Drosophila melanogaster: one gene and its partner. The protein of the gene in region 1 interacts with the protein of each later gene in a pairwise test. Each region holds a gene or a part of one and is shown on either strand. Other genes may lie near its edges.

Evidence for each region.
Region 2: the proteins of Mst84Dd (region 1) and CG15771 interact in a two-hybrid assay, tested with the Drosophila melanogaster proteins (2 studies listed by BioGRID).

What each region holds. Positions count from the first base shown.
Region 1 is NT_033777.3:7,355,633-7,369,567, reverse strand, and holds Mst84Dd (Male-specific RNA 84Dd), read left to right. Parts: upstream 1-5,794; 5' UTR 5,795-5,877; intron 5,878-5,929; 5' UTR 5,930-5,951; coding exon 5,952-6,170; 3' UTR 6,171-6,261; downstream 6,262-13,935. Other genes in the region: Mst84Da (Male-specific RNA 84Da), read right to left, coding at 3,389-3,541, 3,597-3,635; Mst84Db (Male-specific RNA 84Db), read left to right, coding at 4,063-4,287; Mst84Dc (Male-specific RNA 84Dc), read left to right, coding at 5,039-5,206; CG17944 (uncharacterized protein), read left to right, coding at 7,537-8,139.
Region 2 is NC_004354.4:5,746,500-5,764,233, reverse strand, and holds CG15771 (uncharacterized protein), read right to left. Parts: upstream 8,661-17,734; 5' UTR 8,180-8,660; coding exon 8,030-8,179; exon of another isoform or gene 7,383-8,029; intron 6,373-7,382; coding exon 5,887-6,372; intron 5,830-5,886; coding exon 5,398-5,829; 3' UTR 4,483-5,397; downstream 1-4,482. Other genes in the region: MAPk-Ak2 (MAP kinase activated protein-kinase-2), read left to right, coding at 1,575-2,133, 2,650-3,065, 3,414-3,518; lin-52, read left to right, coding at 9,350-9,389, 9,445-9,618, 9,693-9,797, 9,878-10,032; CG15772 (uncharacterized protein), read right to left, coding at 10,586-11,365; Rtel1 (regulator of telomere elongation helicase 1), read right to left, coding at 12,680-12,892, 12,961-13,170, 13,256-13,385, 13,630-13,772, 13,834-14,497, 14,693-15,240, 15,316-16,365.

The DNA of each region.
Region 1 (13,935 bases):
AAGCAGTATTTGAATTGTTATTTAATAACTCTTAACTTGAGTGTAGTGAAATTGCTTTTATTTTATTTTACATATTCAAAATGTTAATCGCAGTGTTGGGACCCATAAAAATGTCAGTTAAATACAATAATTCAATGCAAGTTCTTGTTTATATAAATCCAACTTTCTTTGCGTTCGCATCGGTCGCGAAATGGAACTACACACCAAAATATTTATTTTAATTATAATAAATCCAAATATTTTCATATGTGAATCAAAGCAAATGAAGCTTTTGCTAACAATTCCAGACGACTATTGTGAAACATATTGTGGTGGCATCTGTAATGATACAGTCGCTTCAAAGACTTGCGACAGAGAAGCTTATGATTATATTGCCACCAATGAATACCATTTAATTATGAGAGACGGACATTTAGAGGTTAACTGGAAAATTCCCGATCCAAACATTTTCATCATAAGTCCGATCAGCAAAGAAAACCGTTTGAAATTGAATGAGCTAATTGTATCCGATACAAGTTACCCAATACGTGCAGTGGATTATCTTCGGCAACTTGGTGTGGAGACAGTAACACGTTTCGAAAATCAAATAAATTCATTTAAAGTAATTGAAAGAGATGTCCATTATATCAATGGACCTAAGTCTCTTAAAATAATTATTCAAAGTAACCTTTACCTCAATGAAATAATCGAATATATAAATAAGACAACGGATAATGTGAATGAAATTATTATCAACGCATATAAAACGGTTGAAAACCAGCAAATTGCGCTAGACAACCTTATTTTTAATGGGAAGTCGCATTTAAGATCACTTACATTTATTGGATTTCAAATTGAAAACTTATCCACGAAACCATTTGCTCAGTTTATTAATCTCAAAAGGATGGTTCTTACCAATTGCACGGTTCGGAATTTGACATTTTTAAGGTTTGTAAAATTGATTAAAATTATAGCTTCCTATACATTGCTCTCTCATTAAGTTGTTTGCAATTCAGTATAAATAATTAATTTTCTATTACTAACTCTATTTAGAACTCTTCAAAAGAGCCTTGAACATTTGGAGCTGGATATCGACAACGAGGTGGATTTAAAATACTTTACAAACTTTTCCAGTCTCAAATTTATGAAGGTTAGGAACTACATTCCCAACAAGAACTTCACAGCTTTAATATGCACACACAAAAATTGTAATTTTATCCGTGGAATCAATGGGTTAGAATGCCCTAAACTTTGCCAATGTCTCTATATAATTGATGACTTGGAATTAAACATAGACTGCAGCAATCTGGGTCTTTTGCAAATTCCGCCCCTACCAATTCCAAGTTATGGCGGTGTGAAGTTGAATTTTTCCAATAATTCTCTCTCTCAGTTGCCAACTATGACTTTACCTGGATATAAATTGGTTAAAAGACTTGATGTTTCGCGGAATAGGTTAACCAACTTAAGTATCAATCACCTTCCAGCGAAACTGGACTATCTTGATGTAAGCTTCAACGAAATAATTAATATGGGAAACGATGTAATCAAATACTTAAGAACTGTCCCCATCTTTAAGCAAACAGGCAATCAATGGACTATTCATTGTGATGACAAGCCGTTATTAAATTTCTTTAGACATCTCAAATTGATAATACGGATGAAAAGTGCTGAAATGAAACCTATGTTCTTGCACTCGTTAACCGAATTACCTAAGGGGTTTTTGAAGTTTTTGGGAAAGCACTTCATTTGGCTAGGTGTGAGAAAACAAGAATACTATTTGATCAATGAGGAACAGTTGTTGCAAAGTATGCATCGCAAACTAAACAACCTTAATACAATTATGAGCATCTATAAGTATATGGAATGGCTTCACCGAAAACTAATATTCGTCAATCGGGAGTATGATCTATTTTATATTCGTCAAATGGCAGCCCCCTGTCCTCATAAGTGCGAGTGTTGTTATAGCCGCGATTCACTTATTTTAAAAATAGACTGCAGGAATAAATTTGTATATAACTTTCCCGATATCGTTGCTAGAAATAGTCGTCTTATGTGAAAACAAAATATGTCTAGTCCTATGGAACTGCATTTATCTAAAAATAATATATCAAACATAACCATCGCAATGCTACCAAAGGAACTAAGGTTTCTTGATCTACGTTTCAATAATCTCGTTACCCTGGATGACAAAGTCCTGAGTTACCTTAAGAAAAATTCAATTAAAACTAAACTTTCTGGGAATCCCTGGAATTGCGACTGTAAGTCGAGATCAGTCCTTTCCATTTTGAGAGATCACGAACCCCTTGAGTATGACGTCACGTTGAAACGTTGCAATATATCTCCAACGGATTGTCCAGATGTTTGTGTCTGCTGCTTGGATAACTTGACATGGCCATCATTTATTGTCGATTGCAGAGGAGAAGGACTTCTACAGATGCCTTCACTTTCAAGCAGGGTTACCTATGTGGACCTAAGGAATAACAACCTTACGGCCCTGTCACAGAAGAATCGTTCTTCTATCGAGAACAGATCGTTAAAGCTGCATTTGCTTGACAATCCCTGGTCTTGTTCTTGCAACGATATAGAAAAGATAAATTTCATGAAGAGTGTGTCTTCAAGTATAGTAGACTTCACTGAGATAAAGTGCAGTAATGGTGAGAAGCTAGTCTCGATTAATCAGCATATTGTGTGTCCATCTGACCTCTTTTATTATTTGGCACTCGCGATCTCCCTAGTGGCCACGATCATTGCCTTAAACTTTTTGATATGGTTCAGACAACCGGTCCTGGTCTGGTTCTATGAGCACGGTGTGTGTCTCAGTCTGTCAGCCAAGCGGGAACTTGATAAGGACAAAAGGTTCGATGCCTTTCTGGCGTTTACCCATAAGGACGAGGCTCTGCTGGAGGAGTTCGTGGATAGGCTGGAACGTGGTAGGCCCAGGTTCCAACTCTGCTTCTACCTGCGAGACTGGCTGGCGGGCGAATCTATTCCCGATTGCATTGGTCAATCTATAAAGGACTCGCGGCGCATTATTGTCCTCATGACAGAGAACTTTATGAATTCCACTTGGGGTCGCCTCGAGTTCCGACTGGCCCTCCACGCCACCTCACGCGATCGGTGCAAGCGTCTGATAGTGGTGCTCTATCCAAACGTGAAGAACTTCGACAGTCTGGATAGCGAGCTAAGGACCTACATGGCATTTAACACCTATCTGGAGAGAAGCCATCCGAACTTTTGGAACAAGCTGATTTACTCGATGCCGCTACTACCAAGCTACGTTGACTAGGACATTACATTATTAATTTCAATAAGAAACAAAAATATATAATTTGTTGTCTCCCACACAGTTTATTTTTTGAGATTTACATAGTTCCCGGAAGTATTCCGACAGGTTTCCGGGTCAACTGGTTTAGCAGCAAGGACCGCAACCGCAAAAACTGCTGGTGCCGCCGCAGCAAGGTCCACATCCTCCGCAAGGACCACAGCAGGGGCCACACCCACCACAGCAGGGGCCACATCCACCACAGGGTCCGCATCCGCCGCAGGGGCCACAGCAGGGGCCCTGATAAATCATATTAAAAGTATTCACTCGACTTACGAGACCGATAAATACATACCCCAACCAAAACGTAATTCGGGTTGACGTACATGTACATGATTTTGTTTCTTAAAAGATATTTCCCAACCGGAATCGAAAGGAACCGAAAATTTAGGTGTTAACTATTGAAGGTGGAACGGAGAACTGACTGAATGTGATCCAAATTAGCCGAAGCTTCATTTGACAGCAGTCATGAGAATTTCAAGGCTAATATGATCCGACAAATTATATTCATTATTATTATTATATTCTGGTATCCCAAAACCCATAATCTAGTTAGCTATGGATATTTTCGACAGTTGTCAAATTCATATACCAACTTGTGAGTCAGGTTTCCATCATTCTTATTTTGGTTCTCGGCCTGTAATCATCGAAATATTTTTTCGTCCTAAGTTATTTCTTTGTTAGGTTCAAAGTGAGTATTTCTCAAAGTGTAAGCATGCGAAGTTTTAACAAAATTTTTCTTAGAACTTTACGGAACCATCATGTGTTGCGGACCCCTTGGATTCTGCGGACCCTGTAGCCCGTGCGGCGGTCCTTGCGGACCTTGCGGACCCTGTGGTCCTTGCGGTTCCTGCTGTAGTCCTTGTGGATCTTGCTGTGCGCCTTGCGGCCCTTGCGGTCCTTGCGGTCCTTGCTGCGGGGGCTGTGGTCCATGCGGGCCTTGTGGACCTTGCTGTGGACCTTGTAGGCCATATTGCGGGTGCTGAACAACAACCACAACATGTAAAATATCTTTTTCCTGTGAACCACAAAGTGGAACTTAGGACTGAATGCGGATAAACTCTTCTTAGCTCGCGGGCCTAGTCAATAAAATAAGAATTTCAAAATACCTTTTCCGATGGTTTTTCTCTTCTAAATGGTGCAACCTTTGTCTTAGCTATGGATACCAAATGCGTGACAATAATAATTTATGTAATATAATTGCGAAAATTAAAATTGTCAATTCTTGGTGGATTGCGATCGTTAGAGGGGGCGGAGGAACATCCTACGTTCATATCGACTAGGCTTGTGATCCAGCTCAAGAATAAATAACCTTTTCTTCTATTCACTATAGCATAGCTATTACTCTACGAGTGGCGGGTATAAAACCTGCAACCGTGAATTTAAACCTCATTCAATAATAGTATTTGTCTGCAAACGGACAAATGTCCGATAACAATAATTCTATAACAATAATAACTATTTTTAACCATCAACCGCTGTACATAAACATAATTCGAATTCATAGTAGGCTATGGAAATCGTTCTTGACCTGTCAGACCCACCTAACCTTGTAAGTTCGGAAAATATATCATTCTCATCTCGACCCTTGTGCTGCTCGCATCAAAATTTTGTTGTTTTGTCCCAAATACTTGTTTTTTTTTTTTGGCTTCTAAAGACCGTTGGTAAAAATGTTTATTGTAAAGTTAAAATAGTATACATATTTATTTCGTTTATTTTAGACTTCTCGAATTAATCATGTGCTGTGGACCTTGTGGATCGTGCTGCGGATATTACTGCTGTGGTCCCTGCTGTGGACCTTGTGGACCCCGATGTGGGCCGTGCGGATCCTGCTGTGGACCCTGTGGACCCTGTGGACCTTGTTGCGGACCATTTGGCAGTTGTTGCGGTGGCTGTTGGTGCTAAATGCTCGCAATTGGCAGCCGAATCGATTTGTGAAACCATACCACAATCCCACCATGGTTAAACTAACACCTGAAAGTTAAAAGCCACAAATATATATATATGTATCTTAATGCAGATCCATGTTATCATTGGGATAGTTCACCATTGCTCTTACTCGGCGTTACTCGTTGACATAATAGGAATGCGTTTCGTAATATGTATGTGGGTGTAGGTTTCTTGATCAGGAACACTAGCCGGATACTAAGCGAGCAGATTGTATTGCGCTGCGAGCACAAGTTGCTATATGGAAATGGTTGAGACGTTCTTGGTAATACCATTTTATTTTACACGAATGACGTCTCAAGGTGATTGATTCTGCCTTCCGACGAGCTTCACTAGGACGTTCTTTGTTGTTCCCATCTGGATCAGTTGTACTGCTTGCTACGGCAGGACATTTTCTTAAGCACGTTATTGTAAAATTCACTAAAGAACAAAATTAAATTCCTTTTAGGGCATTGATATAAAATTTTTATTAATTTTGCATTTGTTTATTTTAAATCTAGAAGGCTTTGAATCTATATTCTACTTTCCTGTGCAAGTTCTATGTAAGCAAACATCAGTTTTCATCTTTCCCTTAACCCAAGAACATCAAAATTTGAGCTCTTTTCCAAGCTTTTTAGGTTCAGCACTTTGTACGTAGTTTTTTATTTAAGAAAATTGTTGGTATAATAGCTTTTCTTTTAGTTCTCAGAAATTAAAAAAAAACATGGGCTGTGCACCGGGCGGACCTTGCTGCGGACCCTGTGGACCGTGTTGCGGACCCTGTTGTGGACCCTGTTGTGGACCCTGTTGTGGACCCTGTTGTGGACCTTGCGGGCCCTGCTGTGGCCCCTGTGGACCTCGTTGTGGCCCTTGCGGACCCTGTGGACCGTGCTGTGGCACTATGGAAAAACGAAATGGCCTTCAGCGGTGCTGTCCTTTTTAGCTGTGATTTCCCGAATAAGCAACCAAACTGTGTCCAAAAAAAGATTTCATTAGTCTATTGTGACAAATAAAGGGGAACTATGAAAACTATCAAATTAATGGATCTTAGCAGGGAGCCAATGTAATCATTGCAATTTCATTCATTCACACTCCGTACAAGAACTATAAAGATTACTGCTTTTCCTCTGCTACCTTTGCTTCACAAGCCGATGACGAATGACAAGCCAATCCAAAAAGGCAGTAGCTGAAGAGAGAAGCAATCTCCATAGGACAATCACCATAGGACAATAGACCAGGCTAACACTGAAGCCTGCGGCAATACATTCACACACGTAATAGTTGCATTGGGCTTAAAAGGAGCAGTTGGTTTATGCCAACATGCTCAGGTAATTGGGACGATGCAGTTGGAAAATAAAAAGTAATCCTGCCCTTGCAGCAATTAAATTAGCCAAATAGGGGATGTTAATTAGTGTCAAGTACCTTGAAGTAAATGGTGCCAAAAGAGGCGTGGCCGAGGCCAATCAAAATGATTTCCAAGCAATGTTACTCATACGCCCCATGTAGCTGGTCCCAGTCAATTATTAATGGCTGCTCGGCGCGAGTGCAGACTGCTGACATCTCAATTCAGGCGAATTGTTTATAGTATGCAAGCAATAGGATGCCAGAGGAATATCTGGGGAACTGATTTTCATCATTCATTTCGCCAGTCGACTTTTCCACTTTCCACGCTGAATAATGAAGGCAGCCATTTTAAGTGTGCGCCTGCGAGGCACTGGCTCTCCCGATGACGCAGTTAAGGGAATTCTCGGATATGTAAGCTTCTAGCATTTAGGCCTCATACAAATGTATAGCGCATCCTGTTATATGAGTAGCAGACGAGCAGGATAATCAAGTTCCGGAAGGGGTCGAATTAGAGCTGCCTGCCAGAATCGCAGTCGAAACGCTTAATCAGTGCTATATGCAAGTGTAATCCTAGAACTCGCATATGCCGCAGCCGACTATTGCTGTACTCAGGGAATTCGGGGTCAATCCCTGCAGAAATGTTCGTACCAATTCAGAATATATGTAGAAGTTAAAAATCTGCGGTTTTGATACTTTAATACTTTCTCAATATACTAGAGCACTATATAAGTCCTAACTCCTCATACAGATATATATATTTTGGATCATGTGAAAAGTTTGTAAAGTTTAAATATAAAGTTGAGAAATATTTTGTAAATGCCTTGAAATAACACTTTGAAATATATTTTCTAATCTCAGTTAGCCAGTTTAGTGGACAGTTGAATTGTCCCACCCAAAATTTTTTGTTTCCATCAGCTGTGTAAGGCCCGGTCATCGGACTTCGATCACCAGAAATTTCCGCGGCTATGAGCGAAGAAATCAGAACAAATCCTCCGAGAATGTGGAGCAGGTCTAGTCCGTCCCGCGTCGTAGAAGCCGCGATGATTGGGGATGGTCCGCATGTGTTACTACCACGTCAAAACAACCCAAATCAGCCAATTTCGACGGCAGCAAATCAACGTCCCCGAACATCAACGTCCCGACGATTGAAGTTTCTGAGAAAAATGGCGTTCAGCAACAAAATAAGGAGCTTTGGAGGACCTGCATCCAGGTTTGGTTCCCTTTCGCACTCGGATTTCGGAATGAGACGAGAACTGCGAGGCGATTTCCATTGGCCGATGATAGAGAGCTGGCTTGAGTTTCCCACCTATAATAATGAGGTAGACGAGGATAGTGGTGAGCTCCACGAAAGTAGATTGTTCACAGATCGACGCCACTGGGGACGGGCTCAACTGTACTTCCAGCAGTATCTAGGGATCCAGCACCGCCATCACCACGATCCGAGATCATTCTCCCTGAAACTCGGTCTAAGCCCCGCACACATAAAGTCCATTTACGACGCGCTGTATGGCATGGGTCTCAAAGAGACCTTGAGGCTGGCCTTCAACGAGTTGCTACACTTGCACTAGCTTTGGGGACTTTTTTGTTCCAACTATCGGTAATAAAATTTAAGGCTAACTTTTTATTCTTAATGTGGCAACTTGCTCCTGAATTGTTCCCACTGGAAAACCCTTTAAAAAATAGCACTCAGCCGCCGGCAAGTTTTTTAGCCAAGATATTTGGCCAAGAAAATCGCGATGTTGTGCATTTATGGAAATCGTATGCCGCTGTGTGTTCGCCAGTACAATGCGAGTGTTTGCAGGGCTTGAGGTAACTTTGCGACAAAAACTAAACGAAACGAGTGGAATTTTAAATACCCTTATTTACATCCCATATGACTTAGCACTTTCTTTCACAATATGCCCTTGTTTTGAATTTCTCTGGGGAAATGATGTATAATATCCCCGTCTGACTGGGCTGGTATCCACATATGCCGCAACTCTTGCACAGCGCTCCCGAAATAACAAGCAATGAACAGCGCGCCCAGCACGCATGTATGTGAATCCCGCACTTATACACGCACACTCTCCACCTTCACACACTCGCACCCACAAACACATGCACAAAAGACGCTCTGCGTTCATTTTGCGCCTTATCTGCGGTCGCAAGTGTTGCGCCATCGCAGCCCGAGTGCCTGAAATTATGCTAATTCCTTCGTTTTTATGCAGCCAACATGGAGCAGCAGCGGGAATCTGCATTCTCATGGCCGAATCTCCTCCAGCTCCTCCAGCTGCTGCGTGTTGGTTGTTGGTTGTCGGTCGCCGGTTGTTGCTTGTTGGCTCTTGCTGCTCCGGCTGCGCATTTTGCGGTCGAGGCACTGGCAAAACGGACACCGAATTCTAGGTAATATCACCCGCATATCGATACGATACTAGGATTAATTATGAATGAAGTAGTTTTAACCTTAAAAACACCTTTTCATTATTCTTGAAATATAATATATTTCACTAATTAAAGTGGCCTAATTTGTATGTAAAACTCTTCCTGTACGGTATGCAAGTTTTTTTTTACAGTGCATGGGTAGTACGATGAATTTTACGGCATAGAAGGGACGGCCTGCTGATAACGCAACATTAATAACACCCTCATGGCTGGCTTTCTCTACTTGATGATTGAAAATCCTGAAAACTGCGCCCGCGCCGCAAAGTATGCAGCATTCATTTACTTATCAGCCGTGGCGAGGGAGTTGGCTCCTGCGGAGTCCACGCTCTGTCCCGTATTTGTGGCACATTTGGGAGCTAAGCAGACAAAAAGTTCCCGAAAACAGAGTCAAGCAGCTGCTGCCTCTTCGCCAGTGCCATTGCTACAGCCATTGGTAACGCCATTGGTCTTGTTGTGGCCAGTGTTAACATAAAACTTGTGCAGCGATAAACTCTTGGCCCGCCCAGCACATTGTCCATTCGAACATTTGTTAGCCTGCCTCTCCGCTCTGGGCCAGCTTCTGGCCGTTTTTGAATCCTGCTGCATATTCAACGGCTCTTAGCTCGCCCAGCATTTGGAAATTCCTCTTAACAAGGTTCTCCAGCGGCTACTAACGGAATGCCCCATTTTTTTTACAGATTTAATTGACCCTGTAATCGAGGTATCTTTCTGTCGATACACTAGCTATTTTCTTCGATTATTCCGTGAGTGCTGTACTTGAAATAAACATACATCTCGGTGATGCTTACCGGAGGCAAACATCTCTTCGTTTTTCTAAACAATTGTTTGATGTTCAACCTGCCCGTTTAAGGCATCGAATTTGCTAACTTCATAAATGTAGCAATTCATTCGGTTTTTTACTTTCGCTTCTGTTGCTCAAAATTATATTTCCACTGAATAAAATTCTTTTCGGAACTCTTAACAACGTTTCAACACTCTTATCGAGGACCACCGGGTGATGGGTTAATGAATTCCAACCGTAATTACCCATCCAAGGGGAGTGATTACCCCAAAGAGGCCCGACTCAGCCGATTCGTTATGAGCGCCGACCAAGGGATCCTTTTAATTATTGTTCACAACTGGCGGATGCAACTTTATCTTGTTTATATTATGCATGTTTTTTTCGCCTTCGCTCGACCATTTAAATATTTCAGCTGCGGTAAAGTTTCGATTGTGTTTGCAGTTTTTTCGCTGAATATTTACCCAATTTATTTTGCCCCGGCTATTGGTCTTTGTTTTCAATTCCCGTGCTGTATTTCGATTGCATATTTAATTGAATGAGCTCTTCCTGCCCGTTATACCCAATTAGCTGAAGTGTAAAGAATTGTTTTTAAGCATCTCTAAGGCTGGTAGATGGGCCATCGATCCAGTAAGGAAAACATTAAGATAGATTATGTTAAGATAGCTTACAACAAAATTTCAAGACAAACAGTTAATCAGTTAAATATATTTCTATATTGAAATGAAATGTTATGTAAGCTACTAGCTAGAAGTGGAACTTGTAATTTTTCGGACCTCATGCCTAAAGTTGATAACCTTTGCGGGGGCAGACGAGTTTCCAATCCCCACCCCTATTTGAATGCGTCAACGTCTGTGTCTGCTCCGCTTGTCAAGCATTTTACGCATGAGAAAGTATTTTCAGTGAACAAGTGCGAGGGTTGAGCCGAGCTCTGCAAAAAAGTATCCCCAATGCAGAAATGCACAAGGAAGCCCCATAAAAATAAATCGAATTGAGGCGACGGGAGCTGGGACTGGAAGGGAGCGGGATTGGGATCGGGATCGGGACTGTCGGGATAACAAACGATGCTCCATGCCAACAGAGTGGGCGGAGTACGGCGGGAAACGCAAGTTGGGTTTGTTTATGGCGCGATACGAATGACACGTGACTGGGAGACACCAGACAAGCACCGGCACCGGCGGCACCAGACGCTCGCAAAAATTATGAAATTTAGCGCAAGCCGCAGAGCTCGAGTTGCAGAAAAAATACATGCACATGGGTCTCGCGCACACAGGGACAGATCCAGTTCTATGACAGCTTTACCGTATCACACCTGCCGCACTCACACACCCGCAAGGGGGAAGGTAAGGCACAAACTGACGGCCAATGCGCTTAGCACTTTCATTTCGTTTGCTGCAAATTGCTTAACCACAATGCATATGTATGCAAAGCGGTGACACGTACCATGCACTGAGCGATAAAGCAGACTGTTTCAAGGAAAGAAAAGGAAGCCTTCAAACGAGGAACCAACAACTTAAATAAGACATAATTCGATTTAATTACCAATATGACACAATATGAATCAACACATGAATCATTCTATACATTCGTTATATTTACTACAGTTTCTCTCACCAGGCATTTTGAAAAAGAACTACATGATTTTCTAAAATTTCTTTCTGCGCAGAGGCGGATGACGGTATTAGCAGAGCGGTTTTTTCTTCAGGCAACTGTTGCAAGGTGTCGCCAGCAGCTGCTGGGCTCAATCTAGCTGCTAACGGCTTAACGCTTTGCTGCCTTTTTTCCAAGGTTTTCCGGCGGTACATACACACACACATACTCGTATGTAGTTGTAAGCTTATGGCACTCATTGTCAGTTACTAGGCGGACAGACAGGCGAGAATCATGTGCAATAATAGCCAGGATAACAAAGATGGTGTTTTTCCCGTTCAAGTAAAGTAAGTTGGAATTAATTAGTTAAAGCTTCATTTAAATTGTTTTCGATCTTCAAAGAGGCAGAAAGTTTTTTGTGTGTCCGTTCTATTGTACATTTTGATTAATTCCCACTTCCATGTATTTTCACATCGGCTGTATCTATTTTAAGAGCTTGATGTAAATTGTTTCCCTTACCACCTCGCCACCAAGCAGCCATTGCAACCATTTCCTTGGCAATCCGTTTTATAAGCTCACATGGACTGGCGTATTACGTATACGCATTAGTATTTAGGTGCCTGTAGGCTGATTATGACAGTGTTTGCACTTTCCATCCGAACCTTTTGTGCTTTTGTGTAAATAGGAATGAAAATTCATTTGATTTTTTGTACTTTTGATGAATGAGAAGCAGATTAAAGCTGAACAAATTGAATCGTAAGCCCCGTTTCCATTCACTCAGTTGAAAAATCAGTTGAATAAATTCCTAATCAATTTAGTGTGTGAAATTGTGCCTTCCCTATATGATGCTTAAATAGCTGGTTACTTTCTATGCCAAACTTCATTTATTTTACTTGCCAGCTCAACACAAGTTCCTTGCAATCAATTACAAATTTGATAGTGAGCTTAGTATCCTTAAACTTTCTTGTTGGTTAACTTTTTCGGCACTTAAGAGCACTCCTGACAAATCACTGTAATCGTTCTTGATTATTATTTGGCCAGATGGCCAGTCAATTGCTGTTATAGTCGCTTGTCTAAGATATTGATTGTGATTTATGATTCCTTGATATTTTCTAACGCTTACTAAAGTATTTAAAGCATACTATTTCTGGGTGAATAGCTTCTAAATATAATAGGATACGCTTTAAAATTAAACGTGCTAATAATTTAAAGGTAATATAATGCTGGAGTCAATGTTTCAGATGAAAATCAAATGATTTGTCGGAAAACAGACAATTAAACAGAACCTGATGTCTGCTTCTTAGTGACCGATGTAAAAGCTAAACGTAATAAAGGATGGCCTAGTGCCCTACCAGGAAAGGGGAGGCAAACCTGTCAACTACAGCGGAATTCGAACAGCGAACGCCCAACGCACACGGAATAACCGCTGAACCAAAATATCACAACCACAAAGCCACTGGCACTTCCTGTTTTTTGTTTCCGTGGGTCACAAAGTCAAACGTCGCATATTGAACAACATTTGCCCGTCAGACGTCCGCTGACAAAAAGAGCCAATCGAAAGCGCTATATGGGCTTGGCCCACCCTCCTCATCAAAATGGATTGTATATATCGCCACTACCCACCGATTTCTCATTCTTTGGCGGAACGGATGTCAAATGTCAAATACCATTTCATTCCCAGAAATATTAAGATGGCTACGATCTGTCGACGTTACAAGTGTCAATTTGATTAATTGAAGAGCTTGCCGGGACGCTGCAGCGGTTTTGGCCAAGATGTTTTCCCTGATCCCGGGAAAATATTTCTTAAAGCGAGGAAACATATATCTTTCGAATCGTTACGGTGGTTCTTGGCGAAAAACTCAATAAAAAGTTGCATAATTTTGTCACATCTGTTTTGGGCACCCTTTTCGGTTGGCTAAAACGGAAATGATTTTTTCCGCTTGACCCAATTCTCTTACGTATATGAATGTGTTTTTTCTGTGGTTTGTGTTTATTTAAGCTTTAAGTTTGCCTGCTTTGCGTTTTTTCCTTGTACCCCAATTGAATGAGCTCTTCAATGTGAAGAGATAATTTATGCTTACAAAGGTGGAGGCGTTAAGTGGTTGATGAATACTGAAGTGCCCTAAAGTACGCAAACTAATTTCCCTAAAGGTGAGTTGGCCATTTGAAACCGACTGTTTATTCAGGAGTTACGTTTTAGTAAGCAGCGTTTGTATTGAGTTTTCTATTCGTAAATCATACGTTATTCAGCAGAAGCCACTCAGCTGGCTGGTTCCGCCACTGATATATTGTCATTCATATGTTGTGTCAGCAATTTGTTAGCTTTATGGCTCACGCCACGCCCCCAGTTGTCGTGGCCAAAAACCAGGAACGGGTGATCGGGAAAAAGAACAAGGAACGGAAAGGGAAAATATAAAACTTGCGTACATAAATTGTATTTATGCACTCCACACTCTGCATTCAGCTATTTTTCCAACTCATCGTTTTTATGTTGCCCTCAAAGAATGTAAGAAGAAACTTTAAATCAATTCATTTCACATCAAAAAGAAAAGCTTGCTGAATAGTAACGTTGTGG
Region 2 (17,734 bases), on another chromosome or scaffold:
GGTACATTGCACTGTATTTACAGCTTTTTCCATTCAGTGTCGCCTGGTCACACCGCGAAGCATTTACAAATAAATTCCCTGGTCGTGTTGTTCTTTTTTTTCGTTCCGTTACATAGCACGCTAAAGTAAATATCCGAAAGGTAAATACGATCAGCTGAAGAGCAGGTAATAATGCGGAATATATATCCGGGCGAGAATGAAAAGCGGATAAGATAAAATCGCTGCGCGTGGCCAAAAAAAAAAACTGGACCACCTGAAAACGATCGAAAGGCGATAACAAGATAAAAAAAATGTACTGGCGTGTACAGTGAAAACGAGAACTCTAGGAATTACTAGTTAAACAGTGGGAGAACATGACGCATTGTTTGCATTTGTATGGCCGTTCGATAGTGTGTGTGTGTGTGCGCGGCCTTTTCGGTGTGCGTGCGGTGTGTGTGTGGGCAGTAAAATACTCGTTAATTAACCAATTTTAAAGAAGACTGAGAAAATAATAGTTCTATTCTCCGCCACTGCGTAATGTGCACGAAATTAACAAAAACCAAATGCACCATGTATTTCATCAGCAGTGCGGCAGCACGCACACAAATGCACTCAGCATACAGCCGTGTATCGATATTAGCGATTACCGATAACGCGTCCAACATATGCAATTACTACCGTTTTCCTGTTTTCCCCCGTTATAAAAAACAGAAAGAAAAACATTGTATACCGTTTTTCCAGGAAAACACAGAAAAAGAAAGAAAACACGAAAATATGCAGCGACTGTGGACCTAACCAGCCACCCCACCCAACTTCCTCCGCCCCCAGATTTCTTTTTGATATTTTTTTTCTGCCTCTCTGTAAGTTCATTTGCATGCAATTTGAATCGAGCCGAGATCGCAGCTCTTCGAGGTTCTCGGATCTCCATATTCTGTATATCTATAAGGCTGGAGAACTGAATGTATGTAGCAATTCCTATTCTCGTTTCGTACACGCCATGAAAGCAATGTACCCTTCTTGAAGATCTTGACTATATTTCTAGATCCAAAAGGTTAATTATACGAAAACAAAGAAAATAACACATTTTTCTCGATGCACTTTTATTATTGCTATCCAGGGATTCACTTTCCAAAAGAGCAGTGGAAACGTTGTGCAGGAATCCCCTATCAATTCCCACGGCAGACTAATTGCCAGTAATTAAAAAGCCCAACTGCTATACACCCAGATTAACTGAACCTTACATTTACGACGACAATAGTTTTGCGAAAGATAATAATTAAATAAAATTTATTGTTCCTCAAGCGACTACTTTTTTTTTTGGCCCGACCCTCAATGACGCCGAAATCGTTAAGCAAATAAGTTGCCCATAAATCGTTAACCAAAATTGGCTTTCCATTCACGATAACAATGAAAAGAAGCGTCTTGCAATAATGAAATCAATTTAAAGCTTTGTTTAATTGCACAAAAACGAAGTTAGTTTGGTATCAAGTCAAGGCTTTAAAGCTGACTAGATTACTTATAAAATTAAGACCACTCATCACCGAACTCCATTGACCATTTATCTTTTTTTCAGTTAAAGATCAGCCGATTCCAGAATGCTTTCTCTGCAGAATCAACGGCAACCGAAGACCACCCCACTGACGGACGACTACGTGACCTCGAACACGGTTCTGGGCTACGGGATCAACGGGAAGGTGGTGCAGTGCACCCATCGCCGCACCCAACAGAACTATGCCCTCAAGGTGCTGTTGGACAGTGAAAGGGCGCGTCGCGAAGTGGACCTGCATTGGCGGGTCAGCGGATGCCGGTACATTGTGAACATCATTGATGTGTACGAGAACACGTTTAAGGACAGGAAGTGCCTCCTGGTGGTCATGGAGTGCATGGAGGGCGGCGAGCTCTTCCAGAGAATTCAGGACAAGGCCGACGGTGCCTTTACGGAGCGGGAGGCGGCCCAGATAATGCACGAGATCTGCGCGGCCGTAGACTATCTGCACAGTCGCGACATAGCGCATCGCGATCTCAAGCCGGAGAACTTGCTGTACACCACCACTCAGCCGAATGCGACCCTTAAATTGACGGACTTTGGCTTCGCCAAGGAGACATTCACCAGTTACACGCTGCAGACGCCCTGCTACACTCCCTATTACGTGGGTGAGTGTGCCTTTTGTAGGGATAATCATCATCTAGTTTCTAGTTGAGGTCAATTGTCACATTGGGCACGAAAAATTGCTCTATAATTGTTAAAATCGTCTGTTTACCCACACGGAATTGTGTCAGGAGTTTTTGTTTTAGCCCGGAAGCCGCATGACAGGCATTTGCTGATAGTAAAATTACTTTTTATGCTTGTACCGCCCCGCTTACATAATCTACTAAGCGAACTTTCTCTATAACTTCTGTAATTCAATTCAGCCTTGTTCTCAATCTCGTTGCGAAAGAGTTGTTCGAGAGTTTGCAAAGTGCAATCGACTCGATTTGCAATCGAACGGAAAGAAAGGTTGCGAACATATCGGGGGATTCATAATAAGGTTTTAACAATTAGAATTCAGTTCTCATTGGGTAAATACAGTGTACTTATTCCTTAAAGTTAGTACATTTTCCATTTTGAATATATTATAAGATATTCTTCTGGATAGTTCCCATTTTAATGACATGTTTTTTCTTTTGCAGCTCCTGAGGTTCTGGGCCCGGAGAAGTACGACAAGAGCTGCGACATCTGGTCGCTGGGCGTGGTGATGTACATCATTATGTGCGGATTCCCGCCGTTCTACAGCAACCACGGCCTAGCCATATCGCCCGGCATGAAAAATCGCATCCGCACCGGCCAGTATGACTTTCCCGATCCGGAGTGGACGAATGTGAGCCAGGCGGCAAAGGATCTGATCAAGGGCATGCTGAACGTGGACCCCAGCAAGCGTCTGCGCATCCAGGACGTCATTAGCAACAAGTGGATTGCCCAGTACAATGCTGTTCCACAGACACCGCTCTGCACGGGTCGCATGCTAAAGGAGGCCGAGGAAACCTGGCCGGAAGTGCAGGAGGAGATGACGCGCTCACTGGCCACCATGCGCGTAGACTACGATCAGGTGAGTCACCCGCAGTGGCAACTTGGCATTGCAACAAAAAGATAAATCTCAATGCGAGTCCAAAGTTTTCACTTCTATTATATAACCATTACTCATTTGCTTCTCACCACATACTGTACATAGTATCTTTTCGGTCAATTTGTTTATACAATGGAAAAATAAATTTCAATTTCAGTATGCTTAAGCAATTAGCAAGTCGCCTACTTCCTAGCCCTCTTTTTGTTCTAGTCGTGAACTGGAAAGTCACTAATTATAAGAACTAACAGGAGGTTAATGCGCCTGAAATGCTTTGATTAGTTCAAAACTTGAAAGAAGGTCTTTTCCTAATTGGAATTTTCTTTTCTGCAGATGCAAATCAAGGCGCTGGACAAGTCGAACAACCCGCTGCTGACGAAGCGCAGGAAAAAGATCGAGGAGATGGAGTTATACATGGCCAATGCGACGCGCAACTAGACAACGAGGAATCCAGAGCGACTAACACGGCCAACCCGGGAGTGAGATGAGATGAGATGAGGAGAGATGGGCGTAGGATGTAGGATGGGCGAACCATCGGTTTAACACTTAAGCGGATAACAATGTTGTACAATGCTTTACAAAAACGATAAATACTACTATACTACGACGGCGGCAAGATCTGCTATTAACTAATATACTACGATGACAGCAACCTTTGCAAAACAACTACTCCATGTTATTGTTACGTTACGTTTTCTTATTCATTTTGTCCCATTATCTATCTATCCATTTCCAGTCAAGGGTTCTTAGGGTATTTTGTAGTCTGAAAAGTGCTCTTTTGTAAAAGAAACTATAAAGCGTAATGCGCAAATAACGAACTTAAGTAAAGCCAAGTGCAAGCCTAGCTAGCCAGCCAGCCCAGCCGAATATTCAAAATGTCTCGGTATCGCGTGAAAGTGTTTCGTTTTTCGATTCCCTTTTTTTTTTTAAATATTATTTTCCAAAAACGTGTCATTTGTAACCGAACCGTTTTTTACGTGTACGTGACTTTGATTATAATTATATATATATATGTATATGTATAACCGTCTGTGTATGTATGGCATATGTGTGGAGAAACAATTATACAGCCAGTTCACGTTAGCATTAATCTGCGCAAGATTCAGTGTTGTTTATAACTTTTATTTGCTGATTCTGCAAGCGATATACCATTTTACCGTATAGCATATTTGTAGTCCATAAACAACAAGATCATCCCCCAAATTAATAAAAACAAATCAAGCTTATTTTACTATGATTAAAACATAAAACAAAATTGCTTTCATTTCAACGCCAAGTGGGATAAAAGCACGGTTTAGAGGGAGAAAACAACAAGTGGTGGTTGCATCTTCTGGAAAAACTCTGAGCTTGACCCACTACCACCACCACCATCTGGTATGGAAACAAAAAGTCAGCTGGATTTCGGTTTTGTAGTGTCATTTATTTTCCATTTCCATGATCAACAACAGTGCTCCGGCATGTGAGCCATCAATAATCATCAACGATGCTTTTCGCATAGGGTGCTTGTGGGCGGGAATGGGGCGTGGCGTGGGGTCGGGTGGGGAAATGGGTAGGAGGAGGTTGTTTTTCGTGCAGGTTGCAAATAACAATTTGCCAACAGTGTGATGGGCCAACAGCTGCGAGAGGCCGCGATTACAATACCCGGACTAAAGGCTACGACTAAGACAATAGTTAACATTCACGTACTTGTACTTGTGATTCGGTTATTCGTGTCGTTTCTTTTGTATTTCTTGTGTGTGGTGTTGTTTTTTTTTTTTTTTATCAGAGGTTCTGTAAGAGGTTCGTGTTGTGGTTTCGATCTGCTTTACTGTATCGTTTTTACGGGCTTCTTTTTTCATTGTTTTATTGTTCGCGTTTTACGTTTACCTTGACGTACTTTCAGTTGCGTGTTATATCAATTTACAAAATATGTGACAGAAAATTCGCTTAGAAAAATACATTTGGTTGCTTTGCTTTGCTTTGCTTCCTGTCCTCTGATTTCATATTTGTTTTCTTTTGTTCCATGTACTTGTTGGCCGTAGTAGTTTGTGTGCTCCGATGCTGTTTGCTAGCCTTAATTTTAGTTTAATGGCAGATAGCGAGATTCACCGTGCTTCCGGGCTCCTCCCGCTAATAGTTGAACTTTAAATTCCTGCACTCGTTTCCAATTCTCCTGGCTGTCCTTCTTCGTGATCCATCCGTGAATATTACTCCCGTTCTACGATCATCAATCCTCAATCCTCTTTAGCTATAGTTTTGTAAACTGAAGGTACATTTTTCAACAATCTCTCGTCATTCGTATCGATTCATTCGATACTCAACACATCCTCCGCACTGCCTACAGAAAACTGTCGCAGCTGTTCTCCGCCTCGCTATTGGAGCAATCCATGGCGGGCAGTGAAACGCCTCGTCGATAAAGCCACTGCCTCTGATGATGATGATGATGATGCTGCTGCTGCTGCTCCTGGTGCTGCTGGTGGTGGTGGTGATGGTATCCATGGCCAGCACCCGGCACACAAATGGCGCTGGAGCTGCTTCCGCTGCCGGAGCCCTGGCTAATGGGACTCATGTGGCTGCCACGTCTTCTGGAAACCGACGGCATCTCGGGCAGAGCGACTGAGTTGAGGCGCGGAAAGTACTTGTACATCTCCAGCAGGCTGCCCAGCTTGACGTGCGGCTTGTACTCCACATCCTCTAGCGATTGTGCCGCCGCGCTGCTATTGCTTAGTGGCGTCCAGAATGTGAGACCCAGCTGGGCCAAGTGACCGCCCTAAAAGCGAAATAGATCAGTTGCTAGTGAGCACATTTATGAGTAGCCACAACTCACCTTGATGTCGGTCTCCAGTTTGTCGCCGATCATGACGCACTCCTGCGGCTTGACATTGAGAAAGTTGCAGGCGGCATAGAAGATCTCCGGATGCGGTTTCTCCCATGGCAGATCCGATGAGACCAGCACGCAGTCAAAGTAGCCGCGCACATTCAGCTCAGCCACCTTCTCCCACTGAGCGTTCGACGGTCCGTTGGTGATGAGGGCCAGGGCATAGCCTGCCTGGCGCATCCGCAGCAGCAGCTGGACATAGTCCGCCGGAACGGCTAGGTAGCGATACCGCAACTTCAGCCACTTGGGATAGATCTGTTCCGCCAGGTGCTTGTGGCGCGCTGGAAGGGATTCGCGCCACAGGTGAGTGCGCCACGAGTCCAGCGATGTTTGCGAGTTATCGGGACAGCGGCGGAAGGCCTTTAGAAAGTTTTGGGTGGCCTGTGTTGCGTCATCTTTGCTGAACTGGTATTGGGTCTCCAGAAAATCAGCGAGCTAAGAACGAAATTGGAAAAGGGTTGGCAATTCGCATTATTATTGCGTTACATAAATTCAAAAATATACAAAATTGCGTAGATGTGATAGTGCCGTAAAAACCTCAACCGCGATAAAACTATAAATACGCTATGACGAATTAAAGACGAGATAAGTTAAGAACTTTCACGCAATAAGAAGTGAACAACCTGAAAGTAGAGTTAATATTAATAAAAGCGATTAGAAGCCTCAATACGTGCATAATCTTTTGCGAAACGCGGTAGAACGTAAATCAAAACTATTACGTCCATAAAGTTCTCAATTAAGCGTCAGATTGACCAATCCAATCATTCGATCGAATCCGAAGCCAATTGATTAATTCCAAAATTGTTATAGCATCGCCGTACTATCAGGGGATTGAACATCAAACTGCAATTGCCGCCGGTACACTTGCAGCATGAGTAATATATGAGAATATACTATATTTTATGATCGCAATGATAGCTTGGAAATTTCCACTCGCTATCTATTTTCCGGCCCAACCATCCGCATCTATTGAATCGTACTCAAATCAGGAAGCTAAGCTCACAAAAGTCATTTTGAATGCTAGGAATTTAAGTTGAAATCATTGCGATTAGTCACAAAAACTGTCATGAGTTCCGAAATATAAATGGGCGTGGCTTCGCTCGCTAAGAATTGAAAGCAACTGAATAAAGAAACCGTCTTATTTGGGGTCTTCAAACATTGAGCGTATTGAAACATGAACGTGATAATGAAGTTAACTATCTAAATTGGCGCAGCTTAAAAGATAACGATATAATCTGGAATGCAAGAGTGAGTAAATGTACGTGACATTGAACACATTTTCAAGAATACCTATTTATACCTTTCTCTCTTGAAGGGAAAATTCTAAAAACTTTAACCTTTTAAGATCGCAAATAGACTCATTTATTGTAATAAATAAAGTCAATGGCCTCTGAACGTTCAAACAAGTACATATTGCGAAGTGCTACCTATTATCATCAATTAACCTTTAGCTTCTTTGTGTGCCATTCACTTTATAAGAAGGTTATATTTCAAAAGAAACCATTGACGCGGGTTTCCAAAGTTTGTTGGTATGACGTTTCGTTCAACTTTTGTTAAGTGCAAGTTCCTCGATTTCCGACCTTTTTGCAATCGTTTGCAATCGATAATGCGCACCACGATAAGATCCTGTAAAGTGCCTTTTAACATTTCGAAAACCGAAGATTCCGAATTTCCAACGTAATGCCGATTATTTAGTGGGTTTTAGCCTTCTAAAGTGCATGTACCCGTGGTTATATTTAAGTTAAGACCTTGTCGAGTGCACTCTGAGTTTTTCTTTTTTGTTTTTTTTTTTTTTGTGGCTGGGGGATGTGAAGGGAAGGGAAAGGAAATCAATCGGAACGCAAATAAACAATCGAAATTTCGGGCGCGTGCTATCTGCCGAGCGTCCGGGTTTTTTCGACTACGTAACAACGGGCGGGCTGCAGTGGAAAATTTTCTAGCTGGGTCGCCCGCCTGCTGCGCACTTTCACCTCCCCCGCCCCGCCCCCCCACAAACACTACATGGAAAAGAAACGGAAGAAACGCCAACGGATTGGTGATTGGCAGAGGGGGCAGTGAGGCTGTCTGCCTTGGCTTGGTTAACAAAGCTCACCTTTCTGATCGCCTTGGAATCGCCGGCTCTGGTGGGAATCAACGTGTTGTCCAGGTCAAAGTAAAAGGCCCTGATTTTCGCACATGTCGCATCGAAATGTGAATGTGTGGCTGTCAATTGCTTGCCGCAATGGAATTTGCTAGCTGCCATGAGAGTCGTCGAGCGGAGGGGGGGATGGAGGGTCAGCGAGGGGTCACTGTCAGGAGTGGAGGGGTGGTAGCCGGTTGCTTGGTTAGATGGATGGATGCAAACGTAGAGATCCAAGAACAACTTTGGTGCAATTCAATCCGCCAGCGGATTTGCGCTTTGAAATTGGCGCCAAACGAAACGAAACGAAATGTACGAGCTGCACGACTGCAGCAGCACTGCAGTATTTTTCTATTTTCCTCGAGCGGACTGGCAAAAGTTTCCGCTTCTCGCGCGGCGAAGTTAAAACGGCAACTGAATGACAGCGACAAAAAAAATAATGAAACGGAACGGGAGCGGTCGCAGTAATGTCGAGAGACGGGGTAGCGGGGCGGCGGAACAGGTGAGCGCGTGTGTATGAGTGCTTGTTGACTGAGTGAGAGCGGAGCAGCGAATGAAAAACCGAAAGAAAGTGCGAGGGCGCATGGGAAAACAGTGGTGGCCAAAAGTCTGCGTATGCGAACAGTGCTACCAGGCGGCGGCGCCAATTGATAAAAACTTGATAAGATATTGTTATTCCTTAAGATTTTATATTATTATTAAGATGTTCTTGAATAAGTTTATTTCAATAACTGGTTAGACATCCGTGTTGTGTTGTTCTGGACAACTACTGCGCAGCACATGTGCTTTTTACGGGCACATATTTTTTGGCGCCACTGTGCGAAGTGTGCCAAGTGCCGTTTGCGCGCCAGAGCGAACGAGAGCAGGCGACCTAGCGCAGAGTTGTCTCTATGCGCCGTTAAACGACCGTGAGTGGAAAAGAGAGCACGATAGAGGTCGCGGAGAGGTTCGCGTTTCTCTGCTACGACGCCTGCTCTCCACTCTGAATTTAGTATAAGTCGAGGCACGCTCATTTCCTAATTGTTGTGCCATTTATTTTTAACTTCTATTAATAAAACCAGGAAAAGCAATAACAACAGTTCTTTGTTTACCAAAAATATCAGTTGTTTTATACTTCCTGGTGCTTTCTAGCACTGGCTTGGCGGTAAATCGATAGTATTCGATAGTGATTGTTGAAAGTGGCAACGCTATAGTTTTTGTTTAACGAGGTGGCAAGTGATTAGCCCACGGATTTTTTGGCATCTTTCCGTGTTTATTTTCAATAGTTTTTGGAGTTTTTCAACATTATCCGCGATGAGCAACGCAGAGACAACTACGGATTTGCTTTCTACAGGTGAGTAAATATTTAAATCACATGAAAGGCGCCATAAAACGAGGTTTTCTTGCAGAAACCATTCTAAAAGCGGCGGACGAGGAAGTGGAGAAGGCTTCAGCGTCCAGCAGTAGTACGTTATTGGCCGAAAAGGATGTCCCGGAGGTCAAGGAGCGGCCCATAACGCCGGAAGACGAGCTCATCTCCATGGAAACTCTGCGACCCTCACCTGTCCAATGGCCAGAGCGTTGTAAGTGTAGAAAACGTGAGCACGAAGAAATTGGCGCCATTTTTAACGCATATCTTTATTTTCGATTGCTCCAGTTCCCGGAATGGACGAGTTCCTCTCCATGAGCGACACGCCGATGTACACGCGCAGCACCAACTACACCAGCAATCTGACCGATGATGATATGGTTAAGATTAATGGTAAGTAGCTGCAAAGTCAATGAGATTTAAGAATAGTATATTAAAGAATAGCATATCCATTACCTACTTTTCTATTCCAGAACTAGCCCAGCTCCCTCCCGAGGATCTGATCGATAAAATAAAGTCAATGCATGATGAAATTTACCAGCTGGGACTGCGTGAGGCAATGGAGATGACTCGTGGGAAACTGCTGGGCATCTTTGACCGGGATCGCGCTCCTAAGCGGCAGCCATGAGGCTGGATGATCCGATCCCTAAGAATGGGACTGTCGAGGATCTCGTTGAATTCGCATTAGGAACATAGGTGTAGTTTCATAGTGTACATAGTGCTATTTTTATAGTGAGTAATGCGTGTTGTGAATGATTTATCGCTATTTTACAAAGATAAATAGGCAGGCGTTTGAACAGTAACTAACGTTTATTTCCATTAAAGCATTTTGGGTCCTACACGTCGCTTGTATTACAGATACATTTGAGGAGTCGGAGGAGAGATGAAGTTGACGGATTGGAGGGAAAGGAATGCAGAAGGATCTGGAGTTTTTGGAGAAGGCACAGTAGATTTCGCTATGCAGGGACATTAACGCAACAAATAACTCTGTCTATGTGGGATTGGATGGATCGGTTGCGCTCTAGTGCGTCCTATTAATACTTAACTAAATGCTTTCGTTCGGATTTATGCAGTAGCCTTCCCCACGATCCATCCCAATTTGGGAAAGTGTGTTGGTGCTGATGGTGTGCTTACATGCTGTTTCCCGTGAATATATATCCAGTAACGTGCATCAATTCCCATTACTCCTGCCACTGCATTCCGAATCGCTGCTCAAAGGTGATCCGGTTAAAGACGCCCGCATCGGCCAGCTGCAAGGGATCGGTGTAGTACGCAAAACGCCGTATATCCAGCATGGCCAGGTCGAACATTTGCTTCCAGCTGGTCAAATCTGTAACGCTCATGTGGATCGGCAGCTGGGGATCCGGTATATCGATGGCCGCCTGCAGACGGTCAAACGCCTCGGCAATTGGTCCCACCGATAGATTAACCCAGTACTCCGCTGGAAAGCGCTTGTTCTCACAAAACGGCGCTCCCTTGCGCATGATGAAGACCAGCATGAGTATCTCATAGCGCTCGGAGCTCTCATAGAAGCGCTTGGTTCGGGTCTTCTCCACGAAATCGATGAGAAGGATCAGGGGAGTGTAGTTCTGGAGGTGCATCAACAGCTCCCGGTCGGTCCAAAGGTAACGGCCGCCTTTGACGGTCAGCAGGCTCATGTTGCTGGCGAGTTGTTGATGCTGCTGCTGCTGCTGTTGCTGCTGCAGCTGGTGGTGTTGCTGCTGCTGAAGGTGTTGCTGTTGCTGCTGCTGATGTTGGTGTTGCTGCTGCTGTTGCTGCTGGTGTTGCTGGTGCTGCTGCTGCTGGTGTTGCTGCTGCTGGTGCTGCTGGTGTTGCTGCTGCTGATGCTGCTGGTGAATGCCGCCGGCGGATGGGGCTGGAGTTCCGGTGTTGGATGCCACCTGGCTGGGCATGGCGACCACAATGCCCGTCTGTCTCTGGCAGCCAATCTCCTCCACCATGTGCGCTGCAATGACGACAAAATGCATTTAAGGCAAGTGCCTAAACCAGGCCAAGGTCGCTGCGTTGGCCAAACACCCAGCCACCCCCTGCCCGCCCTCATTATTACTTGTTGCAAATAGCGAGCAGCGAAGAGCGAACGTGCAGCAAGTCAAAGGCTATGGCAATTGCAATTGCAATCAACTTACTGCGTGCCCCAATCAAAGCGGCAGAAATTATGTGTGTATTTATGAGGCGGATGGATCAGCGGGTCTGGATTTGGATCGGGGTACGAATGTGGCCCCCAAGAAGCAGCGGCCTATCTCCTCCGGCAGCTCTGCGTGTTTGCCGTGCGCCCTGGACGATTGTTGCCACGCGAGTGCCTTCCCAAGTCCGAAGTCGGAGCCACTCGGACCCGCATTCTCGTTGCACTCGGGCTCAGTTTTCTCGGTGACTCGGTCGCGCCAGCCGATGGGCATGTGTGGATGTGCATATAGGGACTCGGCCCGTTTGGCAATGAACTTATTGGATGCGTTCTGCGCTGGCTGCGGTTCGCAGATTTGTTACCAAGCGGGCTGCCAACTCTAAAATGTATGCCCCCCAAGCGGTAGATTAAAAAATAAATGTGAAAAACATATATGTAAGCAGTCTACAAAAAAGTAATTTTATGTTTTTAAGACAAGAACTTAAAAGTCTTAGCATTAGTCAATTTCCTATGATATCTTATCTATTTATCATGCTTAAAAATATATAAAATAAACATATATTGTACATATATATATATTATTATACAAATTGAGTTCATATTTAAATACGATATGTAAGATTTGAAGAGTTTTCGAGCACCCTGTTCTATTCGCCTTTGATTTGATTGAAAGCTTATTAAAGCTCATCAGCTTATCAGCAAACGAAATCGAAGTTTGATGCACATAAAAGTGGTATTAAATTTCCAATAAAGGTAGACTGTTGATTTAAGTCAACCTTGAGCGGTAAATAAATAAACAGATTGGGAAAACATAATGCACATAATGCAAACGGTTTTGAGTAACTGCATTTGCATTTAATATGACCCCACATTTTCCCACAAAGCTATAAACAATATCATGATTAACGTATAATTTTTAATAGTAATAAACATCCGTACAGAGAAATTCAAAATGCATGTACAACAATGCATAGCATTGTTAATAATATATATTCTTAGGAGAATTAGACGCGCCCCACTAAATACAATCAGAAAATTACAGCCAATGTCAATAAATTTGAAAAAAAAAAAATAACATATCCTTGGGACGACTAAACTTGAAAACTCTTTTACATAGTCACCTAACCCTTTGTTAAAGATTGCCCACCCTACGATCAAACTCGTCCTTGTGCTCGTTCTTTAGATACTTCCGCATCCCGACGAGCATGTAGCGCACTTTGGGTGCGGACAGGACATCCAGGAGTATGGCCATCAGGGCCTGAAAGCTCTCATAGGTGCCATTCTTGTACTCCAGCAGCGCCTTGCCAAAGCGGCGGAATTGATCTTGGGTGACCAGGCTGCGTAGCTGCAATTCAAGGTAAATTAATTAGTAGTAGTAGTAGTAGTATGGAAGAAGTCTCGAAGGTATCTCACCTCCCGGAGAAACGCGGCCCTTTCCTCGGGTGCCTCCTTAGCCTGCGAACTACTTGGCTCCACCTTGATGTTCTCCACCAACTTGTATCGCTTTTTGGTCACCTGGCTGGAGGATTCCGGCGCCGTTGGTGAGCTTCGCTCCCGCTTGTGAATCTTCACCAGACCAGAGGAGCCACTTTTACTATCTGTGCAGCAGTTGAAATCGATACTCTGGGAAAGGGGCAAAACAAGAACAAGTCCTAAAGAACTAAATAAACACAGTGTAATAATAGATTCATGGGAATCTCGTGTTTACCGAGACATTTGAGTCCAGTCGACTCATAAAGTCCATGGCATTCGGCGCCGCACCACCCAATTTATGTCCAGCGGCACTCGCATAATCGGCGGGTGTCCATGTCTTGATGGAATTGGCCATCTCCACTTTGCTACAAAGAAAAATAATAAATATTTCAAAGTGTCAATACCAGGAGAAAGGCAAACGAAAGTTTATTTACCCTGGCAGTGATGACAAAAGGCCACTGGAAATGGCTTACAGCATTTCACTTTAGCTATGACAAATCTCAAAAATTGTACTCAAGACTACTTAAATCCGATTAAGGATTTGCTATTAATAATTGTAATACAATCTATACAGCTGATAAGGTTGATCTTAGATCGCAGGTTACGTACATTGCGGATTCATTGGCTGATTTGAAGGTGGCATTGGAGCCAGGCTCCCGTTTCACTTTTGGAATGGCGGCTAGTGGTTCATCCTCTGTCTTGCAGACGGTTTCCAAAGGCGAATCGGTTTCCCTTTCATCCGGTAGTTTCATCTGAAGTTTTGAAAGAATTGTATTACAATTGCTGAAAAACGCATAAACATCATGAGCTTACATTCGCTTCGGCGTTCTTAAAGAACTGACGCAGTTCCCGGACGATAGGACCAAAGGGTGAGCACTGTGGCCGGTCGCCCAGGTGACCCCGAATCCATTTGGATAGCTGCTGGACCTGTGAGGCGTCCTTAAATCGCGAGTCGCAAAGCAGAATGGCACCATAATCGTTGCGATGCCGAATCACACGACCGATGGCTTGATTGACTGCCCTCGTGGCATCTAGATTGTACCATTCCTGCCCACTTAACAGCTGATTCTCACGAGTCCGATTCGCCTCCAGGTAGCGACGTTTCAGTATCACCTTGGGATCCTTTAGCGGTGGGAATGGCAGACCAGTAATAATCACCGCGCGGCCATTGCGATCAGCAAAGTCCAGACCTTCGGAGACTTTGCCGCGACAAACAGCCATGAATACGGCACCCTTGGAGTCGCGTATCGCCTGGTAGAACTCTTCCATCGTGCTGGTGAACTGGTCCTTGCTGCGCGGCTCCAGAAAAATCGGTTTCTTGCACGATATGTCCGCCCACAAACCACTGGCCTGCCACGCGTCCACGCACTTGTTCAACATGGGATACGATGGGAAAAAGACAAGGAGGCCGTCGGGCACTATACGCGCTACATTCAGAATCGTCTGTCCCAGGGAGCTGATGTACTTTGGATTATCACTGCAGAAGAACAAAGGTGGCAGATAAAACATGTTTGTTTAGTTTGTATAACATTAAGAAATTGATACGTTGGCATTTCGTAATGTTATGAGATAGTTCACCTGCCACAGAACTGAGTTATGTTTGGCCCAACTTGTTTATTTACTCATGGTATTGGCCATAAACAAATAAGCTTGTGGTGTGAAAAATGCTTACCGGTTCGCATAGTTCGATATCAGTTGCTGCCGATCGGGTCCGGTGCCGATGATCTTGACATAAACCTGCGACTGGTCGACGATGTGCGGATTCTCCAGATGCTGGGCCACCGGAATGGCAAGCTCGGCGATTAGCGGCTTGAGGGGAGCTAGTGTGCCGCTGGTCAGGATTACGCTGCGCACTTGGGTGTTGAGCAGTTGCTCCATTCCGAAGCCAGGATTGAAGCACCAGAAGTTAATGATTTTTGCGACCTTGCTTAAGCCAGTCGCTGCTGCAATCGTTCCCTTGCCAAGCCAACCGCCCTGCTGTTTAGCACCCTGCTGCTTACCGTGTCCCTGCTTGGACTCCTCCACCAGGACATGCACTTTGAAGCTTGCGTACACCTTGCTCATCACATCCTCCTTGTTGGCAAACACAATGGTCAGTAGATCGCTAAGCAACGTGAAGGTGCCGCCCTTGCGGATGCTCATCTGCTGGGAGGCCACTAGGAGGTATTGCACCAGTTTGTCCAGCAGGGATACTATCGTTGCAACGTTGCCGTAGGTGAACTACAATAAAGGAAGTTACATTTTTAAATAGGCATTCTTTTAAAAACATTTCCGATAAGATTTAGTGCATCTTACATTCGCCTTGCCAAGCAGTTCGTACATCATGGAGGCGGGAAAGGTAGTTCCATCGACGGCGTTGTCCACAACGATGGCATCGATGGCCTTTTCGAGCTCGAGCAGCATCTCCTTGAGCAGTGTAAGGTCGTCCAGTGTGAAGTCCTTTGGCTCATCTCCAGCCATATCCTGCGACTCGCCGCTCGCAAAGACTTGCATGATATGCGTGACGTCCTCGATGGCCATGGCCACATCAGAGGACTTAATCTGCACCGAAGCGGACTCCTCGCAGATCTTCTCGATGTTGTGGGCCTCATCCAGGATCACAATAGTGTTGCCCAGTTCGATTTTGTTGGCCTTGCGAGCCTTGGGATCGAGTAGATAATTGTAGGGCATGAAGGTGATATCCGCCTGGGGAACCAACTCCCGAGACGCGAAGTAGGGACAGATCTTGAGTCGCTGGCCCACCTTGACCAGGTCCTCAATGTCCATGATGGTGGGTCCGCGCAAATCGGGATGATCCTTTCGCGACTCAACGCGCATTTGAAATGAACAGGTCTTGGAGTGCACCCGTAGCTTGCACATGTTGGTCTTGTTGGAGTTGCCCTGCTCCCGCATGACCTCCGGATGAATGCATAGCTGATCGCGGGAGCCCAGAACCACGGATCTCATGTTAGCGTACGCTGTCCTCTTGAGTTCCCGCATCGCCTGCGTCAATTGGGAGTGGGTGCGCGAGGCGTAGATGACCTTGGGCACGCCCCAGTTATTCGCACGACCCATGGTCTTGGCCAGCTCGGACAGGTCTCCCCCAGGTGCTCCGCCTCCAAGACCCGAAAAATCTGCCTTCTCCATCTTAACCATCTGCTTTTGGTGCTCCGATTGCCTGGTGCGGATCCAGGCCAAGGATGAGCACAGCAAGCTTAGGGTCTTGCCCGTGCCGGTTGGCGATTCCAGGACTCCATTCGTGCCATCGCGGAGACAATGGATCACCTTCTCCATGTACGCCCGTTGAACCGGGTACGGCTCGAACGGAAAGTGCACCGGAATGCCGGCGATCAGGCTCTCCGGCATTATTCTTAATAATACTATTTATTTACTTGTTTACGCGCCAAATCGGAGTGAACATGTGTTCGTTGGTCGATAACAATAAATGTCTGTGTAGGTGGTCAGTTATCGCTATCGATAGAGTACAGTGGACCCTGATTAAGTAATTTTATAGCGTTATCTTGAACTCCGAGTCAAATGTTTACAACTTGCATGTCAAACCCTGCGTAGTTTATTTTAAACGTAATAGTAGTACTAATCACCACCCAAAGTGCTGCAATCGTGTTTATGGTACCTTATGGATAATAGTAACTGAAACTTATAAACTTATTAGCATTGGAGGGAATACTGTAGTTGTGATTCTGTTTATTTGGATCAAAGATTAACGATATAACATTTTAAGTGAATGTTATGGATTATACCAAACTAATGAACTAATGGCATTCAAGATTAAATGTGCAGCATACATATAAATCCCCTAACAAGGTAAGTAAATATTTGACATCAATTATTACAAACTCAGTTAATTCAACCACAAATCCATTTATCGTGACCCCTTCGCTCGGCTTTTCCGAATCGCCGCGATACGGCCCCACTGATTTGGCGCTTCTCGGCCACACCAAAAAAACACAGAACGGCATCAAATCATTCGAACTTTGAGAACGGTAGTGTTGTGTTGTTATTGCTCGGCAGCAAAGTAAAATCCGAAGAGAAGCGAGTCGAACAAGAGAAGAAGAAGCGCAGGAGTGGACGACAGCAATGCAACAACAGTGACGAGGCGCCAGTGTGCAAAAGTATGTGTGCGAGTGCGTGTAAGCAACAACTCCCCGATACAAACCTACGAGCGAGAGGGGGACGGCGATAGCGACGGTCGTTCGGTCGGTCGGTCCGACCGCTAGTCGCGTCTGTCGGTCGTTCTCGCCTATGCACCTCGGCGGCAGAGCGAAAGAGAGCGCACTCTGGCTGTGTGTGTGCGTGTGTGTTCTCGCTCTCTCGCGCGGTGGTGATAAATTTCTGTTGGCACAAAGTAAAAATATAACAGAATAAAAAATCGTGGCGCGGCATATAGAAGCTAATCGAAAATTATTGCGAGTATTGGGTGGAGGAGAAACATTCCTCTTCTTGTGAGTGCGTTTTTGTTTTAGTTATTCTTTTTTTTTTTTTTTTTGGCCGGAAACTCTCACTCGAAGATGCTGCCGGTGTAGTTGTGTATGAATGTTGTACCATTTTTTTTTTTTTTGAGATAGAAAATTTAGATCTAAAATATTAACCATGCGATCCTTAGAATCGCACTTTTAAAATATGTCCACACATTTTCAAATTCGAAAGCTTTGGCGGGCTGTCGATGGGCGGGCGCTTGCAACTCTGGCGATAACGATTACCGTGCCGATAACGC